Oreochromis niloticus: one gene and its partner. The protein of the gene in region 1 interacts with the protein of each later gene in a biochemical or structural test. Links are inferred from orthologs where the notes say so. Each region holds a gene or a part of one and is shown in the gene's direction. Other genes may lie near its edges.

Region 1 (10,442 bases):
TGTGAAAGCAGGTGGGGGTCCTAATCAGCCAGAGTTTCGGGTGAGCTCATTGTGAAACCTGGCCCCACCCTATCATGTGATTTCCTGAGGTCAGATGGCCCAGGATGTGAGTGGGCGTTAAGGCGTCTGGGAAGGATCTCAAAACTGGATTATAGATGGCAGACAGTTGGTGTCGTAAACCACCGCCTCTGTTCAAAGATGGTCGCTCACAGTGGACATAGATGGCCTCTTTCACTCCTCTTTCAAACCATCTGGCTTCTCTGTCCAAAATGTGAACGTTGGCATCCTCGAAAGAGTGACCTTTATCCTTAAGATGCAGATGGACTGCTGAGTCTTGTCCTGTGGAGGTGGCTCTTCTATGTTGTGCCATGCGCTTGTGAAGTGGCTGTTTGGTCTCTCCAATGTAGAGGTCTGGGCATTCCTCGCTGCACTGTACAGCATACACCACGTTGTTCAGTCTGTGTTTTGGAGTTTTGTCTTTCGGGTGAACCAGTTTGTGTCTGAGTGTGTTGCTGGGTCTGAAGTACACTGGGATGTCGTGCTTGGAGAAAACTCTCCTGAGTTTCTCTGATACACCGGCTACATAGGGGATGACAATGTTGTTGCATCTGTCTTTCTTATCCTCCCTCGCTGGTGTCTGATCTTCTTTTCTGTGCATCTTTGCTGACTTTATGAACGCCCAGTTAGGATAACCACAAGCTCATGGCACAACATAGAAGAGCCACCTCCACGGGACAAGACTCAGCAGTTCATCTGCATCTTAAGGTCAAAGGTCACTCTTTTGAGGATGCCAACGTTCACATTTTGGACAGAGAGGACAGATGGTTTGAAAGAGGAGTGAAAGAAGTAATTTATGTCCACTGTGAACAGAGGCGGTGGTTTACGACACCAACTGTCTGCCATCTATAATCCAGTTTTGAGATCCTTCCCAGACGCCTTAACGCCCACTCACATCCTGGGCCATCTGACCTCAGGAAATCACATGATAGGGTGGGGCCAGGTTTCACAATGAGCTCACCCGAAACTCTGGCTGATTAGGACCCCCACCTGCTTTCACACCTTGGCTCATGTGATTAGGTAGAGGATCACCAGGGGGTCCTTTGTCCCCCTTTGGGGGGGAAACTCCCACTAGGTTTAAATCTGGGACTCTCCACCACTGACCCTCAGAACTGAAGAAGCTTCTCGGATGAGAGGTGAAACGTCTTCAAGCAACTTAAAGAACTCCAGACGCTTTTCTTTCCAAGCTCCTTAGTCCATTTGTATTCTATTTTTATCCTATTGTATATTTTATTCTACTGTATATAGTATTTTATTCTATTCTGTACAGTTGTGTACGGTATTTATTCTTATTGTATTCTAATTTTTGCTTCATAACTTTTGCACTGTCCACCTCCTGCTGTGACAAAACAAATTTCCCACGTGTGGGACTAATAAAGGTTATCATATCTTATCTTATTTCTTGAACAAATGGGACCAATCAACTTTAAACAAATGTGAATTAATTCGCTGTAAATCTACTCACTAACGTAAAGAATGTACTCGATCAATCAATTAGTCGACTCTCGGGTCACTGGTATGTTTTGGCTGCAGCTTTAACAACGTGTTTTTGCATCATTCCTACTAATATTAGCACACATGCTAACACTCACTGCTCGATCCTGGGGTTCGACTTCTTCTTGTTCTTCGTCTTCACGTTCTTCCGGTTCCGGTTGTAGTCAAACTTCTTCCTCCGGGCTGACTGCTTGGCTCGCGGCATTTTAGAGATTTTCCTCCGTTTTCAGAGCTGCACACTTTGTGTTGTTCTTACTGTGGCTCAAAAAAATCAGAAAGGGACAGGCAACATGCGGGCAGCAACAGGAAGCACGTGTTTGGTTGGTCCAGGTCACGTGACCACCAAGCCACGCCCCCTCCAACCCAACCGTTTTTTATTAAAAACTTTTTATATTTTTTTCAGAATGTACAGAGTCCACCTGCAAAAAGAAAATAAAGAAATAGAATGAAAAATAATATAGTACAAGAAAAAAAATATTTTAATATTTACAAAATAATGTGACAAAAAATAAAAATATAAATGAAGAAATTATTTTCTCTGATTAAAACAATTGTTTCATAAATCAAGTAACTCAAATAATTTTGCAGGGAAAAACTTAAAAAATAGAAAGTTTTAAGTTTGCTGTATGTTATGCAAAACTGCTGAGATAAATAACAGAGGTGAGTCCAGAAGGGGGGCGTGTGGTTCGAATGGACCCATCCCAACAATGTCACTGGATCAGAGTATTGTTAATCTTACAGTGGATGAGAGCAGGAAGAAGGTACAACCATTCACTCACTTACACACTGTAACATTGTAACATATTCCCATGTTATGCTGTTTTCTTTTACTCTTCTATATGTTGAATATAAATAATGCATCATTCATTTTAAAGCTTTAGTATCTTATCTTGCAGATAAATTGCATTACTAAGCTACCCAACCACAATATACATCATTACAATATCAAAAGCTTCAACATTAAACTGGTATAAACGTCGATCAATCTATAATTTTCATCCATGTCATGTATATGACCGTGAACATGCCATGTGTACTGTATTTATTCTTATTTTATTTTATTCTAATTTTTTGCTTCATAACTTTTGCACTGTCCACTTCCTGCTGTGACAAAACAAATTTCCCACGTGTGGGACTAATAAAGGTTATCTTATCTTATCTTATCTTATCTTATGAATGATTCATTCATGAATACTTTGATTATAAATCAGAATTACAACTTTCTGCTTTTTTGTTGACTGCTAAAAGTCAAAATTCTGTTTTTCCACTTCACAAAACAATCATCCAACACAAACTGATCTTTAAACACGAGCAACATTGTTCAATACACCACCATGTAATAAATCTGTAATAGCATGCAAAAATCAATCATAATAAGTAAATATACAAGCAAAATATTATTTAATATTTCATTATTAAATAAATAAATAGAAATAAATGAATAAAAAACCTATCCATGTTGGAATGTTTTATTCAAAGACACAATGGTAACACATCTGGGTCAGGGTTAACTCTGTTTTTGTTTTTTACCATGTATGCCATTAAATGAATTAAGACTTTGTAACAGTAAGTTAAAGCACTAAAAGCTTATTTATGATCGTTGATATTAATAATTTATCAAACATTTCTTAATAAGGGTGTGGAATTATGCATCATCAAGAGAAAACATTAAAAAAAAATCACAAATAGACTTGGAATCGTAAATATGCTCATTTTTATTTTATTTTTATCCCAATTTTTAAAATTAATATTTGTATTTATTTCATTATGTATTCAAACTCATGACTTAGGGATGTTTATTTTTAAATGAGATGCTGGACATCGTGTATTTCTGAGCTGCTGAGTCAGAGCTGAGAACCTGCAGCTGACGACCGAAACCTCCAGAGGTCAGTGTGATCTAACCTACGCCACACCTACTCAGAGACTCACAGCGCTGAAATCCAGACATCCTCAGAGTCGTCATTATTCATTATTGATCAGATATAAATAAAATCTACACTGCTGATGATCTGAGTTTCTTCTCATAGTTTTCTTTGTGAGAAACAGCAAAGTAGAAATACTAACACAATCCTCCTGAAATCTAATATATACCAGACTTTAGTGCCAGAAGTGAGGAGCAGCCTACAGTCTCTCCTCGAACCCTCGACTCTGTGGCATCCTTTAAAAACCAGTCGCCTGGGTGTTTTGTATTGCTTTACTGGATTCAGGTGTTTATCTCACCATTTTTTAATACATTTGTAAAGCACTTTTTGACATGTCCTCATCTTAAAAAGCATTATATCAATAAACTTTACATATTAATAAAGCAAGTTTACCTGCACACTATTACCACTTAAATTCACAAATAGCTAAATGACATATGATAACAAAGAAACATCAATAAATATATGCCAATAGTACCACAAGCAGTAGGCCTAGTAGTTACAGTAGTAGACACATATTTTCCGTACAGTTCACACAAACACAAACTGTCTTCAATATTACAGGAAACAATAAAAGTTCAGATGACTTATGAAAATTTAAATTTCCCACAGCGGTGGAATTTCAATTCATTCATTGTAAGCCAGAGCTCCTGGAGGCTCTTCTGATTCTAAGAAATGAGTCCAAACCACTGAACTGAATGGTTTAATAAGTAAAAGTAGAAAGAAAAAAACAAAACAACAACAGCAATTTTAGTTATTTTCAATAGAATTTGCACAAATGTTTGCAGTTAAATTGTGTTGAACTTACCTAAATCTTAAATCGTACCTATTCTTTTAACAATTCATTGTTGTATGGTTTGAACAATGAAATGCTTTAGTTTATACATATACATACGTACATATACATATTATAGTATACGGGAAATACAGCTGCCCTTCTGCTTAATGATGCAGCTGATCTTTTTAATAGGGCAACAATTACATTTTAATATCCACAAATCCTTCATAATTAACATTATCTCAATTTATCAAATTTAAAAAAAAAAAGTCCACCTGAGAATCTCAGACTGGCTTAAAAAAATCCATGAGAAAGCAATATTTGTTTACAGTTATGCAAAATGTAGATTCCTGTTGTCATTAGTTTTCTCAAAAATACTTTTGGGATGAAGGTAGAGCTGTTTTTCAACGTTTTCCTGAAATCATATTTGAGAGGCCTTTTAAAGGACTGTTTGAGCTCAGTCCTTCAAATGTTTCTCTACCATTATAGACTGTCAGGAGTGGCGCTCGAGTTAATGACGAATGCTTGAATTCCCTGAAATATTTGGATGTACAATCTGTGACAACCAAATCTGCTGTCAAAGATCACACATCCAAATGTTTCAGGGAATTAAAGCATCATCATCATCATTTATTTATATAGCACTTTAAAAACACACCTGGTAGACCAAAGTGCTGTACAATACCAATATGCACATAGTAATAAATAAAATAAAATAAAATAAAATAAAATAAAAGCATTCATCATTCTACCTCAACTGAAGTCCTCTCCTCAGAGTCCACATTTAAAAAGTACTGAGCTCAAGTTATTTTAGATAACGGAATTATAAAATTGCCTCTCATTAAACAATTATAGAAAAACTCCTAAAAACTGCATTACTTAATTCCTTAGATTATCTTTTAATTAATGATAGGAGGGACTTCCTGTTAAGTAGTTTACTTTTGCCCAGGAAACTCGTAGATGGCCAGTTGTGGGCGATTTGATGACCTCCACGGTTTCACAAACTTAGTTTTGTACTTAATTTACAACACAGACAACATTATCAATAGAGCTTAAAATCAACATGTAGTCTACAAATAACTGCAAGAAATCAAAACTTTTTGCGAATTATTTACATACTGAGATCAAATGGGCCTAACTGTAATGTGATTGGTTTGTCTACAACAAATATATTTGCTTTGACATAATTTATTGGACAAAGAGACAGACAGCATAAGTAATAAACCGTTAACCCAAAGTCACGAATGAAACCGTCAGCTAAAAGTAATACACAGTTAACTGAAAACAAAAAAAAAGAAGTAGCAAAAAATGTATAAACTGTTAACGTAAAGTAACGAATGAAACAGCTAAATGTAATAAACAGTTAGCTAAAATAACAGATTACAAGGTCAGCTAAAAGTAATACACAGTTAACTAAAAATAACAGACAGTTAACTAAATGAATTAAAAGTAATAACCTGTTATAAATGGCTAAAAGTACTCAACGGTGAACCAAAAGTAATTAATTAAATGTTTAGCTAACAGTACTAAATGCTTAAATGATTAAACGGTTAGCTAAAAGTCATAAAGCGCTATCAGAGACCAGTTGTGCCCGTCTCTGGTAAAGGGTCCATTATGAATAATGCCAGTCAGTCTTTTTTAAATTGCATGGTTAAGTTTTGTGGACAGTAAAGTTTGTTTTAATATAACTCAAACTCTAATGGTATTGTTGCTAGCATTTTCTAATAGCTTTAAATTGCTTGTTTAAGTAACACACACTTCGAGGCTAGCTCAAAACCGAAGCATTAGATATGAGCAGAGTGAGCTATCTGCCTTTGATATTATGATGTGTATTTCCTTAAACGCGCCTTTGTAACAGAGTGAGAAGTCTGCTTTATTTCCTCCTCTCTGACAGCAGCTTCAGGGCGGAGAGATGGAGCGAGGAGGAGGAGTAACAGGAGGAGAAAGAGGAGAGGAGGGGCGCGGACTGTCACCGGACGGGTCTGCGCGAAAGCAGAAACGGAGCTTGAGTTTTTCCTCCTTGGCTGGGCGGTGGGAGGAAGTGGTGGCGGTGGACGGTGCTTGGCAGAGGATAACTGTGATTGAAGCCGCCGGGGGGACCTGGAGCTCGGTGTGCTGCCGCTGCTGTAAGCCCGCACAGCATTAACATGGAGCTGGAGAACATTGTGGCCAACACTGTGCTGCTCAAAGCACGGGAAGGTAAGGATGGGGAAGGCGGTGTGACAGCTCCTCTCCACCGGTGTGTTACAGTCACAGCACCGGAGGGATGCCCCGGACTCGGGCGACACGAACTATTCCTGCACTTCCTGACAAATCTTTTGATGATGCGCGCAGGGTGTTACCGTAAATACAGTTCGTACAAGTAGATTGAAACGACCAACCGAACTCCGTTTATAATTCGAGCGGTATAAGCCTTTGTTTCATATCCGTGGTCCTACCCTGAATGTCAACTTAATGAGGACTTTATTCAAAAATTTAGCAAACAGTGTCCAAATCGGCGTGGAATATGTTTAAACAAATCTCTTAATTACCGTGAAATCTCTGTCTTCCTTGTTCATTGTGCCGACTACATTGTAAAGTCAATAGCTCTGTTATACTACCTACACAGGGCATGTATGAATGTTTACTATATTCCAGTATACGCCGAATTAAAGAGTATGACCTAAAGGCTGGGAAAACGTTACAAGTACCAAATGTTTAAAATTATTTTTTGGCCTGGCTTTGATAGTGTACCTAAAAACGTTGTCCGGAAAGGGTTGTAACCGTGAACTGTGGCTGCAGCGACACATCGGGTTTCCCTTGCTGATCTTGCAGCATCGTCCTGTAGTTTGCGAAACAGGATGTTGTGGCAGAGCAGCTGCTGTGCATGGCTTTGTGCACACAATTGATTTTACTGTTCCTGCCAAAGCCCATCATCATTAAAAAGGCCCTCATTAATCAGCTACAACCAGGAAGCTGTGATATCTGTGGGTAAGAGTCCAGGTGAAAAGGTTGGCTTGTAGGAAACCCTACTGGCACAGTTTGTCCAATGACTGTTAACACTTTTGAATACCTAATGCAACATAAACGGCCCTCATGCGATCAAAGGCTTTTGTTATTGTTCCAATAAACAGGAGACAAAGGTTTGAGTGGCTCACAGCCGACATAATCCTAATGCTGTCTGCACAGGCACCTGAGAAGATGTTTCATGAGTTTATCAGCTGTGCTCATACATAACCAGGACCTGAGGCTCTGTGCTGGCATCCAGCTGAAGCACCCTTGAGAAAGGCACCGTATCTCCGGGCTCCGTCAGGCCTTGACTCTGACCTCTCTGGAGCTGAGACTTATCTAAACTCTTGAGTTCAGCACTCACACAGACCGGCACAAAGTTTGAGCCCGAGGCTTTTAATTTCCTGCGTTCTGCAGAATTTTCTGCACCGGTTTGCACCTTTTCTCGTCGCTTAATATGTAACGCATAATTGCTTTATAATGATTGTTCTCAGTTTTCCTCATTTAACACTGTCCCCACTGAGTCATCACACATGTAGCCGTGACTCTTCTGACCTCATTGGGGTTTGCCTGGTTTTGGATGTGAGAGTCATCTGATATCGGGATAATTCCCCGGCCTTTTGTTTGGGGATGAATGAATAATTTGTTTATTTTAATTTACATACCTAAGACGTGTTTCAGTAAACAGGGCACTCATTCATTGAAACAAGGGCTGGCAGTGTTATTCTTCAGCATGTGTTGGACAACTTTTCACTTTCTTTAACCCAAACTGGGATTTTTTTCCTCTAAATATCTGCATGTAGTTTTAAGTAATAATTTATGAGGTTTTTGGATCAGTAATGTATTTATGATGTATTTAAAATAACACAAATTGATGTAAAAGCTGACTGAAGTGATTTGCTCTAACAACGACGATCCCTCCATTTAAAATTGGAAAAATATTCATGTCATGCACACCAATGACGTTGAGGAGTCCAGTGACACTTAAGTTAATAGGGAACAACTCTATGAAGTGACCAATGTGTTTCGGCTTGGTCGAATGACCCTGAGGAACGCCACAAGCCGAAACACGTCAGTCACTTCATAAAGTTGTTCCCTATTAATTTAAGTGTCGCTGGACTCTTCTGTTTGTTACATTCTGTTAGTGGAGCGATAAATACAGTCAATAAACTGTAATGTGTCAGTGAACAACACAGACACATTACAGCGGGTCTTTACTGAAACTAAATCAGAACACAGAGGCAGTGTGTGACAAACAGTGACTGAGTGGCTTGTTGAAGCATGTTTAGCAGGAGTAATTTAAAGTGTGACTTTATTAATCTCCCATATGGTTGTGGAGGATTTTTCATTCACTCTTCTTTACAATGTTGCTTCAGTTCATTGAGGTTTGTGGGCACTTGTTTATGCACAACTCTGTGAATGTCCAACCGCAGTATGTCAGGCGTGGCGGGGACCCTGAATCTTTTCTTTTTCAGTCGTTCTGTTTGATTTGCTGCTTTGGATCATTGCCCTGTTGCATGACCCAGTTTAGTTCAAGCTTTAGCTGTCAGACAGATGGCCTCACGTTTGAGTCTTGGTATACAGGCAAGTTCATGGTCGACTCAACGGCTGCCAGGTGTCCAAATCATCATCCATCCACCAACATACTGAAAGTTGGTATTAAGGTTTTTTTTCTGATCTGCTGTGTTTGGTTTTCTCACAGGTGGCGCTGTGCATTTCCACTTTGTATCATCTGTCCAAAAGACATTGTTCTAGAAGTCTTGTAGTTTGTGGAGATTTGCAAACCTAAGCCGTGCAGCCATGTTGTTTCTAGAGAGACCTTTTTCCTGGAAACCCTTCCAAACAGGGTGTACTTGTTCAGTCTTTGTCTAAGTGTGCTGAAATGAACTTTAACCTTGCTAACTGAGGCCTGTAGAGTCTAAGACTTTTCTCCAGTTTCCTACACGTTTGGGTGTCTTTGCTGTTCACTCCTGAGAAGATCGTAGTATGTTTCTGCTGGAGGTTTCTTCCTGTTGAAAGGGAGTTTTTACTTCCCACTGGTAGGGCTGCTCAATTAATCGAATTTTAATCTAGATTACGATCTGGGCTTTCAACGATCATTAAAAATGACTGAGCCGATTATTAGCACCTCCCTCGTGCTTTACTCTCGCGCTGCTCCGTGTGGCAAATCGAGCGCACCTCTCCGCGTTTCGAACACGCGTCACAACAATTAAGAGGATCCGAGGGAAGCTCGGAAAGCTAAGCAGAAGTTATTTGGAGAGGAGAGGATAATGGCTGCTGCAGAAAGAATGCCGTTGGTTGAAAAGAGGTAAAACGACTTCGGTGGTGTGGAAACATTACAGGTTCGCGGAGTCAGACGGGGATCAAGTAGACATAGTGTGGAAACTTTGCTACGGTGTCGTAGCTGCACCACAGAGCAACACTACAAATTTATTCAATCATTTGAAGACCGCTCACAAAGTGACACACGATCAAACAATGAAGGAACATAGAGAAAAACTCTCGACAACACCTGCTTCATCCTCACAGACCTCCATTCACGCTACCCTGTACAACGCGACTAAATATCCCACCAGCTCCCAGAGACACACGGAGATAACAAACGCGGTAACGTTTTCCTCGCCAAAGACCACTGCTCAATTAACACAGTGAACAACCAGTATTATGCAGGATTTTGAAGTTCACTAAACATAGATGTTTACATTTTTCATTTATTTTTTATATTGCAAACATTTGCACTGTAATCAGTATTTGCACACTATTTTATATTATTTTTTGACCTCTTTAAAGTCATTATTCAATACATTGTTATTGTTAAATAAATAACAATGAAAAGCGCTATATAAATCCAATGCATTATTATTATTATTAATATCGTCAAATAATCGAGATCTCAATTTCAGTGAAAATAATCGTGATTATCATTTTTGCCATAGTCGAGCAGCCCTACTGACTGTCATCAAGTGCTTGCTCACAGGGGGTTGTCTGATTGTTGGGGATCATTGAAAGGTCTTTACCTCAAAATACGAAGCACCTTGAGGTGAAAGTTGTTGAGATTTGTGCTATAAAAAAGAAATTAAATTGACTTGTGTTATCACACACCTGAATGAGTCAATAGAGGTGGTCATGCTTGCAGATGATAAATTAATTAACTGCATTTGATCAGCATGTGGCTGATACTTAACCTCTAAGTCTCTATGGAT
Region 2 (10,303 bases), on another chromosome or scaffold:
GAATCACTCGTGCTTTCTAAGGAAAGTTGGATTAAAGTTCCCAATCCCATTCTTCCCAAAGTTTTAAGTAAAGGTAATAATTTGGCTTAACCTTAAATACCTAATTTATACTATTAATCCTGTTGTAAGTCTTGCTGCAGACTGCCTTTTTTCTAACAGCATGTTTCAGTAAACCGATAGGTCACTAGGTCATCACCAGTGTTGGGTAAGTTACTTTAAATTAGTAACTTAGTTACATTACTAGTTACTTCTCTAAAAAAGTAACTCAGTTACTTCAAGTTACTCGTTACTTTCAAAGTAACTAGTTACTAGGGAAAGTAACTTTGGTTTTACTCAGAATTCTCTTGTTAATGTGTTGCTTCCGTAACTGGATACCAGCAAGATTGCCAGTCTTCTAGCTTGCTTACTTGCCACAAGTGCACTGTGCCACCTACCAATAGAAAGGAAAAAATAATGTGCACATTTCCACGAGAGAAATTCCACGCCTGGACCGTCGTTGACCGCCGCCATGATTCTAGCCTGCTTTTTACATCCAACACAAAAACTGCAGTCGTGGTGCTTTTGATTGTACTCAGAACTTGGAAATTCTGCCTTCTGAATAGGAAGATGTAGGTAACACCAGACTGCAGATGAGCTGCATACAGAGCTGGACTGGGACAAAAAAATCATCCCGGGCATTTTGACTAGAGACCGGCCCACCATTATAGGAAAAATCATAAAGCCTTTGAATGAAAACAAACACTGTTGTGACAGTGATGTACACTGTTCTGATGGTATATATGTATCAATCTATCAATTGTTTGTTGTAAGACTCAGATAATTTTTTTTTTTTTTAAAGCAAGACATTTTAAATGAGAATAAGAAAGAAAAGTATTTCTTTGTGCCCCCCTTTCCCTGTTAATGCCCTACCTGGCCCCCTGGCAACACTTTGCTAGACCCGCCCCTGCACAGTTACCAGCTGTCAGCTACATAGAAAAGGATCCTGGTGTTATTTGTCTCTCAGAAACAGTTCATAACTTCCCTTCAACTCATTCATGTCACCTAAAAGGTAAACCTGTTTCTCCATCACCTGTTCAGCTCTGATGATTCAGTAAGGACATCTCCTGGTTTCATCTGCATGTTTCCCTCTCACCAGATAACCAAACCGATATCATGACCAGCAGCTTTACAGCTGTGGCTCCAGCAAACATCAGCTGATACTAGAAATTAATATTAAATACATTCTAACAACAGCTGATCAAGCTTAAACGTGATGCTGTTGTTTAACGCGACATCCGCTGGTTTCCTCTTTCTGGCACAAAGTGGGCGATAAACAAACAAGAGAGAAAAGCCGATCAGCTGATCATTGATCAGTTTCGTGATTGAAGTAGAAACAGGAGAGGAGAGAATGAGAGAAGAAGAGGCAGCTGTGCAGCTTCAGCTTTGTGTCTTTTTCATTGTAGCTGAAGTCCGGGACAAACTGTGTTCCTTTTCACCTCAGTACGAAACGCGTAATATTTTCTCTGAATACCAGACGATTCTGTTTTTTACGGGACGGTTGGCAACTCTAATAATTAACCATATGAACAAAATAAAGTTCAACATCAGTAACATAGCACCCACCCAGCTGTATAGAAACTCCGTCATGCTAGCTAGCACGCAGTACGAAAATGTCAGCATACCGAAAATAAACTCCACCTAAACTTGGTTTATATCTGACTCAGACAGACTGCAGGTCATAACTTCTTACCGGAAGTTCAGTTCACCTGACACGCGGACCGGCGGCCGCTTCGGGTCTCTCCTCTTGCCTCCCTTTTCCTTCATCCACCTGCTGGCTTCCACCACTTGCTAATGTTATTGAATCTGTGGAAGCTCCGCGATATCCACCACACGAAGTAACGAATAACGAGCCTATCTAAATCCCAGTAACGAGTAACGCGTTCCTGGTTTTGGCATAATAACTAGTTACCGTGCTCGTTACCACAATAATAACGTAGTTACTGTAACGCGTTACTTAATAACGCGTTAGTCCCAACACTGGTCATCACAGTATTTGGCCTTTAACCTCCTCAAACAAGAGTCTAATTCGCCCTTCTCTTTGTATGTTTGCAATCAATGAGGCAGAGAAAAAAGTGACTCCCGTGAGACTGGCAATTCCTCTGCCAGGTGAAGAAAGACTTCCCGTCTCTAGTTTACCTTACCCTTAGATATTAGCATTAGAATTCAAGTACAAAAATTCTGTACACACAGTAAAATGTGACACTGTAACAGGTGTTGGGAGGGGGGGGCTGAGTAATTTGTTGGGCCATCAGGTCAGCATCACAACTTCAATAAAGAGAAGTAGGAATTGTACAGGAGATGGTAAAGAGATAAGACACTTTTAATGTGACAGTGTTTGACTAAATAGAGCAGTGCACAACATCTAAGTGCAGACAGGACCCAAATGTGAACCGGTTCTGCCTGGGAGTGACAGGATACAGGAAAACAGATGTCACAGACTGAGGAAACCAGTTGTGATTAATCCAACACTGGAACAAGCTTTCCAAAACAGAACACAGAACAGAAATTTCATTTACAATTAGTGTAGGTTATTGTACTGCATATTTAAACTAAATCAATGTGAAGTTTAATATGTACTGTGTTTCACTTAGTTGTCCACATAGGCCTACAATTACAAACGAGCTCAAGGCCTAAATCCAGCATTCTCAGACAACGCTAAAGCTGATCATCCAATAAAAAGCTTTCTTGATATTATTTAAAAATCTTTTTTCTGCATTAAAAGCAAAACAGAAAAGCTCCTCAAAGTAATACATGAAGGAGAAAAAAGCATTTGATGCCTATGCTGTACATTATAACTTACAATCTAACTGTTGGAAGGTGCTGATAATATACTGACGTATCTTTAGAGGCTAAGCATGGTGGGTTTGTCATGCATGTTGTGCAAGAGATAAGACTATGGGGGTTACTAAAATCAAATGAGTAAAATGAGCTGGGGGTATTTCATGGCACTATTTTTACCTGCTGATCCAGTGGGAAAGCCCAAGGAGTGGACTTTTGATTTCAGAGCAATGCATGTTTACATTTTTCCTCTTTTTGGGGCGCATGTGGAAGTTTAATCCTCACAGTAGTAAAAGGAAATAGATTAAAAGGTCATTAAAACATCTAAATGAATTTTGGGAATATGACTACTGGTTTTCATGGAAATCTGCCAAGAGAAGTTGTCATATAAGCAACATATGTAACGAGACAAAAGGTCACCAAATCAATTTAAGTCTTCCTATGAATGCCTATGGAACATTTTCGAGTAATTCACCCAGTAGCTAGTTACTGACATTTTGCCTGGAACGTTTACTGTGAGCAACAAAGTTCAAATTAGTCAGAAGGCACCATGGTTACAAGCAGTATGCAGCATGTCTCTGACCCGTTTTTGTTTAAAAAGTGGGACATAGAAAATCATATTTGTATAAATAAGTACTGAGATGTCTGTGTAAATGCTGAAAATTGGATTTGCGCATATGGATTGAGTGGTTGGATTTGCTCTTGCGTCATCAGTCATATAGGCATTTGTCAAAGCTCCCTTGGAAGTGCACAGAGGAAGTACAGTGCCTTTGGCGTCTGCATTCTTTGAAGATCAGAGCTCTGGAAACTATCATCACTTCCCTTTGTAAGCTTAGCGTGGACCTGTACACACTTGAAAGCACCCACAGATAACTGAGACACACTTACCTCGACCTGGGATTTGAAATGTTGGACCAGTTGCTCAAAAATGACAAAAGCACAAGCTGTAGCTCATTTTCACTGCTGTGATGCTGATAATAGAGCAGCCTAATTTTCATCAAAATGTACAGTCATCTGAACCTGGTTAACAGTGTGTTCCACACATAACTCCATTCCACAGTACTGTCACTAAAATCACTTCACTCATCACTGATCTCCCGTTGGTTAGGCTTGAGAATGCCATTGGCAAAGCTCATATGTGATGTGGTATTTAAGCCGTTTTACCTTGTCTACCGTTACTACTTCCTCTCGGTCTCATGAGTACAAGCAGGCTGTCAGTTATCACACTTCATTTACTCTAATGCTTTCTGTGTCGATCACCATCATCAGGATTCGCAGCATCAGCAAGCTGAAGCAGAAGCAGCAGAAGCCATTTGGAAAGCACTCGGACTGGACGTTGCCAGTCTTGACCAAAATTCAGTCACTATCTAAAACATTAGTGCTATCACGTGCTATTGCAGTCTACACTCGAGTTTGCAATTTGTCACTATTGGTGAAAACTGATTCTACCGTTAAATCATCTTTAATAAATCTTTGTTAGCTATTTTACTTATCTGCCACAAAATGTAAACGAGAAGTCCACTGTTGAGCAGGGTCATGTCAGGGCACGTGTTTCTAAGCAGTTTTTGCAGTGTGGCGTGGCACGCTGTCAGGCTAGTGGTCACTGATTTTGACAAGTGGTATTGTAATGTAGTGGTAACCTTTGGTAGCACGCGTCAAATTAACATAAATGCCAGGCCCTAGCACAACATTGCATTTTAATGATCAGTGTCATTCACTTCGACTGTCAGGTGCTTCAGTGTGGAGACTAACCGGTGTAGGCTGAAGACACAATTCCATTCGTATGGCTCAACCACTTGAAAACTACCGCTTTGTTTGTTTGTACATCTGTTACACCTGCTAGCACACTTTTCAGAGTCTTCCTATGTTAGCTGAAACAAGCAAGTGAAGTCTGTGTTTACAGTGTAATCACTCTTATCGTGTTTGCTGCTTTTACTACTTTCCCTGCCTCAGGCTTTCCATGTATATACATGAAAGGGCAGGAGGTGTGTTTCCCTCTATGTTAGGCTTTTCAAGTATCCATGTAGAATGACGGGGACGTCCAACAAAACAACCAAATGCAAATTGTTGTAGATGAAAAACAGACTAACCTGTATTAGTATATTCGAGTGTCTTTTACATAGACACTACAATGTATAAGTATGAAGTTATTGTTAAGATGCCTAAACAATGAAAATGTTATTTATCTAGCTCTGAAGATTTCACTGTTTGCCTTTTAACTTGTGTAATATAATGTAAATGTACAAAAACATGGGAACAAATTGCATCTTGTGGCTGCTAATTAACTTAAACGTGGGATCAACTTGATCAGAACATTGGAATGTTTATTTAAATAAGAAATAAAGTTGCTGTTCATAAAAAACAAACACATAAACAAATATAAAATAATTTCCATGCTCAAAGATTTAAAAAAAAAAAGCTATACATACTGAAAGTAATTGTGGTAAAACATCCTACTTAGTTGTTGCACAACCAGGTCACAAACCCAAACAAACGTACTGTGGTTTAGGTGCTCTGTAGCTTTCTTATCAGCCACGGTTTGGCTGAAACACAGATAACAAAGTTCTCTGCATCAAAATTTAAATAGTATTTAAGATACATATATTAAAAAAAACAAAACAAACAAACATCCCAGTTTTTTTATGATTTGCACAGAGCTACTTTTAATATATAAATGCAAATTTGTCCTGAATCCTGAAAACATTTTTGTATCTTGATAAGGTATAGCGTGACAGCTTGTCCCTGTCAAACTGGCCACACTAGTGGTGCAGTCCTAGACTAAAATTATGAGGGACTCTTCCCTAGTTTGACTTTTAGACATCTGTACTTGTAGCATTATGTAAATCTAAGTGTTTTCATTCTGTGGTTACAAAAACTAAACGGGCTGTAATATACATTTAAGTATGCGGGCAGTATTTAAGTTCAACAAGTAAAATAGGTCAGAAAAAAATATACATAGTTTTAAAACATTACTTTGACATTAAAACATAAAAAGGTAAAGCAGAAAGCTGAGCCTGTTTTCAATATGAAATATGAGCAATGAGTAAGATCTGTAAAGCAGCTATTACACATTACCCCCCCCCCTCCAAGTAGTTTTGCAGTGCCTAACTTTAAGTAGAGTCTAATTTTAAGCACAGTGTAGACCTTCTAAAACTAATTTCACACTATAAAAAAAAAGATCAATCTAAGGAGTCCTTTACTTTGTTTGCAGTTTTTGTCTCATGCAGCCCTGCAAACACCACTGTAGGGACAGCGTGTTCAAACTCTTGAGAGCTCTCTGCACCCTCCGCAGGCTGGCTGTCTGATTGGCTCAGCACTGACCATGATGTCATCACTGCATGCTATAAGGGCTCTGACAAATAGCCTGGGAGACACATTAGAAGAAACACTGCTCAGCTGAGGGACTGAGTGAGTGAGACACGCGTAGATCAAGTAAAGCAGAAAGTAGCTGGGACATGTGATACTCACTGCTTTGTGGGAACTACCTAAACAGTGACATTTTACTTTGTATGGGAGCCAGGAAACACGACTGCTACCTGTGGAGGTTTGTACTTCTGCTTTTGTCTGGCTTGTTTAGCATGTTTTAAAGCTTGCTTGAAACTAACTGGATATACTGAGTTTATGTATGTGGGTTTTGTGCGGTAAGCTTTGGTCTCCTTTTTCTTTTTTGTTAGTGCTAGATTTAAGTGCATGCATTTTTTTTCATTTTCTTTTGTTGTAATTAGGCAGAATTAAAAAAAAAACGTAATTTGTAAAATTCACTCCTTTTGTTTGTGTGTGTGTGTGTGTGTGTGTGTGTGTGTGTGTGTGTTTTGTTCATATGTGTTCTCTTCAGATGGGAAGTACAACCAACTCAGAGTACACCAATATGACTGCAATGAACTCGTCATCGAATTCAACTGGGACTGATGAAGGTTTCAGTGCCCCTGTAATGATCCTGCTGGGCATGGTCATGTCCTTATTAGTTTTGACTATTGTCTTTGGCAACATCCTGGTCATAACGGCAATTGCCCGCTTTCAGCGTCTCCAGAATGTCACCAACTGTTTCATCACATCGCTTGCCTGTGCCGACCTGGTCATGGGTCTGATTGTGATTCCTTTCGGTGCCTGTAAAATTATCTCTAATAATACGTGGTACTTTGGTAATTTCTGGTGTGACTTCTGGACTGCCACTGATGTGCTCTGCGTGACTGCAAGCATTGAGACCCTCTGTGTCATCGCCATAGACCGTTATTTGGCCATTACTTCTCCCTTCCGCTACCAGTCAATGTTGACCAAGTGCAGAGCTCGCTTTGTGGTGGTGCTGGTCTGGGTGATTGCTGCACTGATATCTTACCTGCCCATCCACATGATGTGGTGGACTGCTGATAATAAGGAAGCTGAAAAGTGTATAAACCAAACTGATTGCTGCGAATTCCACACCAACCAGGCTTATGCCATCACTTCCTCTATCATCTCCTTCTACATCCCTTTGGTCATCATGATTTTTGTCTACAGTCGAGTTTTCCAGGAGGCGAGGCACCAACTAAAAAAGATTGACAAAAGCGTTGGACGTTTTCATAACAGCGACATCAGCAACACTAATTCTCTGGAGGCCAATAATGGGCGTGGCCTTAAAAAGGCGAAGTTTTGCCTTCGGGAACACAAAGCTCTGAAGACTCTGGGCATCATCATGGGGACCTTTACTCTGTGCTGGCTGCCCTTCTTCGTGCTAAACGTGGTGGAGGCTATATGGGCTGTGAACAGCCCGACCACCTTTATGGTACTTAACTGGATAGGTTACGCAAACTCTGCCTTCAACCCACTTATTTACTGTCGGAGCCCTGAATTCTGGTATGCATTCAAGGAAATCCTGTGCATGAAGAGGAACCGCCTCAGCAACCCTGGACCTGTGAATGGATACATCTATAGCAGGCACAGCTGGCAGAGTGAGCAGCAGGGGAGGAGTAAAGGTAACTCAGAAGAGAGTGACCCCACTGAAGGGTTTCTGGGGAAAGGAGCAGGGGTCTGCAGTGTTGTGGACAGAGCAGTGGACCCCAACGGGAATTGCAGCAAAGACATAATGACTGTAACGAGTATAACGACTGTCCTATAAACTTGAAGCACTGAGACTTCTGTCAACAAGGAAATCCAGATATGTTTACATTGCTATTGTAAACTTTTTTTTTAAATGGCTGATGAAGGTAAGGCCAGTCAAAAATGACTGACAGAGTCTCTGGAGACTTTAAAGAAACAATAACTCAGCTGTTCAGCTGAGTAAAGTGTCACTTTTCCTCTTCAAACACAGTGACACAAAACTGTAGGTCTCTCACATTTCCCTTTTGTGTGTGTTTCTTGCATTTTTTTTTTTTTTGAATTTTCACATCTACCTCATCATACCTTTTCAATATTTGCATCTTAGCTGACCATCTGTCACATTAAGTCACTCTCCGCAGGAGTTAAAGTAGGGCAGCATCTCAGCAGTTTATTTACTCTACTAAATGGCCTGTGGATTGTATGACTGCTAATTGTCTGGCTTCAACTGAATTTGTAGCCATGTTGTTTATCTTTGAGCTGGAGAAAGATCCCACAGTTTTTATTAGCATAAAATGTTTCAGAATTTCAAAGGAGAAGCGGTCGGAGGTTGTAAATTTCATCCGAACGTGCCAATTTGGCACAAAGAGCAAAGTAATCAGAGAACGATTGAAGGTGAAGGGTTAAACGTAATACCTCTTCGATGCTTTGCTTCAAGAAACACATTCCAAATTGACCGAGACTATAATCTGGCATCCTTTACTTTGCTCTTTTTTTCTTTAACGATTGTCCAAATCTGAAAAATGATCCAAAGCAGGTGTGGCAAAACCCGTCTCAGTCGCTCTGTTTCACTCCTCAGCAATGTTACGAGGCCCTGTTCCCTTCTATAGTGTATTACAGTCTCTTGCATTTGAGTTTCCATTGCGGGCGGATAGCACTAGAGATATGAAGCTTCACAGTAATCTATGAGTTACTGATGAAACCTAGGTCAAAGTGAGGGTGGTCAAAACTTGCAAGCATGTATATGCTGTCTAAGCCAGATTCCGCTGTCAGGTCAAAAGATATATGTAATCTTTCGGTGCAAAGTGGATGCCATTACAGATAATGCGGTTAATCCTGAGTGTTGACCTTTGAAGCTTGCAGCTGTTATTAACATAAATTCAAAAGTGCACATTTTAAAGTTTGCTATTGCACAGTCAGAACCCATCACTTCTTGCATTCTGTTAAGTGGCCGACTTATGTGCTACATGTGACTCAGTACATTATGGCCATTACGTAAGTGTAAGAAAAACTATTCATCTTTCCTTTTCCTTCTATGCAACAGTTACAGTAGCGCCCTTTGTTGCACAAGCCCTATTTATTTATTAAAATCTGTGGTTGCTCTGTTTCAGCATGTACACTGTTTACTGAAACCAGAGAAGCCATTTCCTTAGTCATGGCACAAGGGTACAAACCACACGTAATAATAAACAGTGTGTCAAAATAGCCAAGCGATAACAAAGTTCCACACCCAAGATGTGGCGGTGGTGAATATTCAGGGTAATAAAGATAGATGAGAGGAAGAAAAAGAAAACAGCCCTGAGTAGCGCACCACTGTCACGGCTCTCTCACAGGTGCCTCCGCCGTTGTAAAATCAGTTGCAAATCAGAAAACCTTTGGATAAGACACTCAGGAGTCCATAGAACAGTGCCTTAGCTGTTCCACTTTCTGACATTAATTCTCTAATAAACAATGCAGGTTAGAATAAAATCCGAAGGGGCAATTTAACATGAGATCAGATACTCATGGGAACAGAATTTTTTTTTTTGTGACTTACAGTAAACGGTGTGCAAGATCATTAGTCTTAAGAGAAGTAATGAAGGTGTGCCTACAGACAGAACCCCTTTCCCCAGTCAGTTTGGCAGTCTCTAGTATGTCTTGATCAGCATGCTAAATGTGGCAGAAGGGGGACCAGGGATTCTCTGCAAGTCTAAATCGGTGTTAGTGACCTGTGTTAAAGTGCATGTAGCATTGCCGGTGCAGGTCTGCTGATGCTGTAAAAACTGTGAACTTTGTTCTCTCAGAGGAATCTCCATGTACTGTATTGCTATGTCCGATCAGCGGTGCTGCTGCTGCAGACCTTAGGAATAGACGTAAATATGGTATCCTCATACGTCACTGTTTGCCATGTGAAAAAACAAGCTTTCCAGGATGTCGAGCTCATTATCTGTTTTTCTTTTTAACAGATTTACAGCAAAGTAAATGCAGGGGTTGGGTGTCATAAGACATGTTGGTCTGCATTTTCCCAACATTTTCACTGTACAGTCTACGCAAAGCACAAAACGGTCAAAGCCTCTAGACCATTTTCTATGTTGCTTTTATTAAGATGTAAATAGCTGAGTCTCTGCTGGTTTAAAAGGTCTGCAGCTTAAACACGTGTAATTTTAGGAGTAATGCACCAATGATCTCTTGCATGCCAGCTTCACATTTGTAG

Evidence for each region.
Region 2: the proteins of grk6 (region 1) and adrb2a form a complex in vitro, tested with the Homo sapiens proteins (2 studies listed by BioGRID, with this or other methods). The link is inferred for Oreochromis niloticus from reciprocal best matches to the Homo sapiens genes GRK6 and ADRB2.

What each region holds. Positions count from the first base shown.
Region 1 is NC_031975.2:30,387,325-30,397,766, reverse strand, and holds the start of grk6 (G protein-coupled receptor kinase 6), read left to right. Parts: upstream 1-6,189; 5' UTR 6,190-6,398; coding exon 6,399-6,450; intron 6,451-10,442. Other genes in the region: nop16 (nucleolar protein 16), read right to left, coding at 1,650-1,756.
Region 2 is NC_031966.2:29,904,575-29,914,877, forward strand, and holds the start of adrb2a (adrenoceptor beta 2, surface a), read left to right. Parts: upstream 1-6,180; 5' UTR 6,181-6,361; intron 6,362-6,652; coding exon 6,653-7,912; 3' UTR 7,913-10,303. UniProt on the Homo sapiens protein: Beta-adrenergic receptors mediate the catecholamine-induced activation of adenylate cyclase through the action of G proteins. The beta-2-adrenergic receptor binds epinephrine with an approximately 30-fold greater affinity than it does norepinephrine.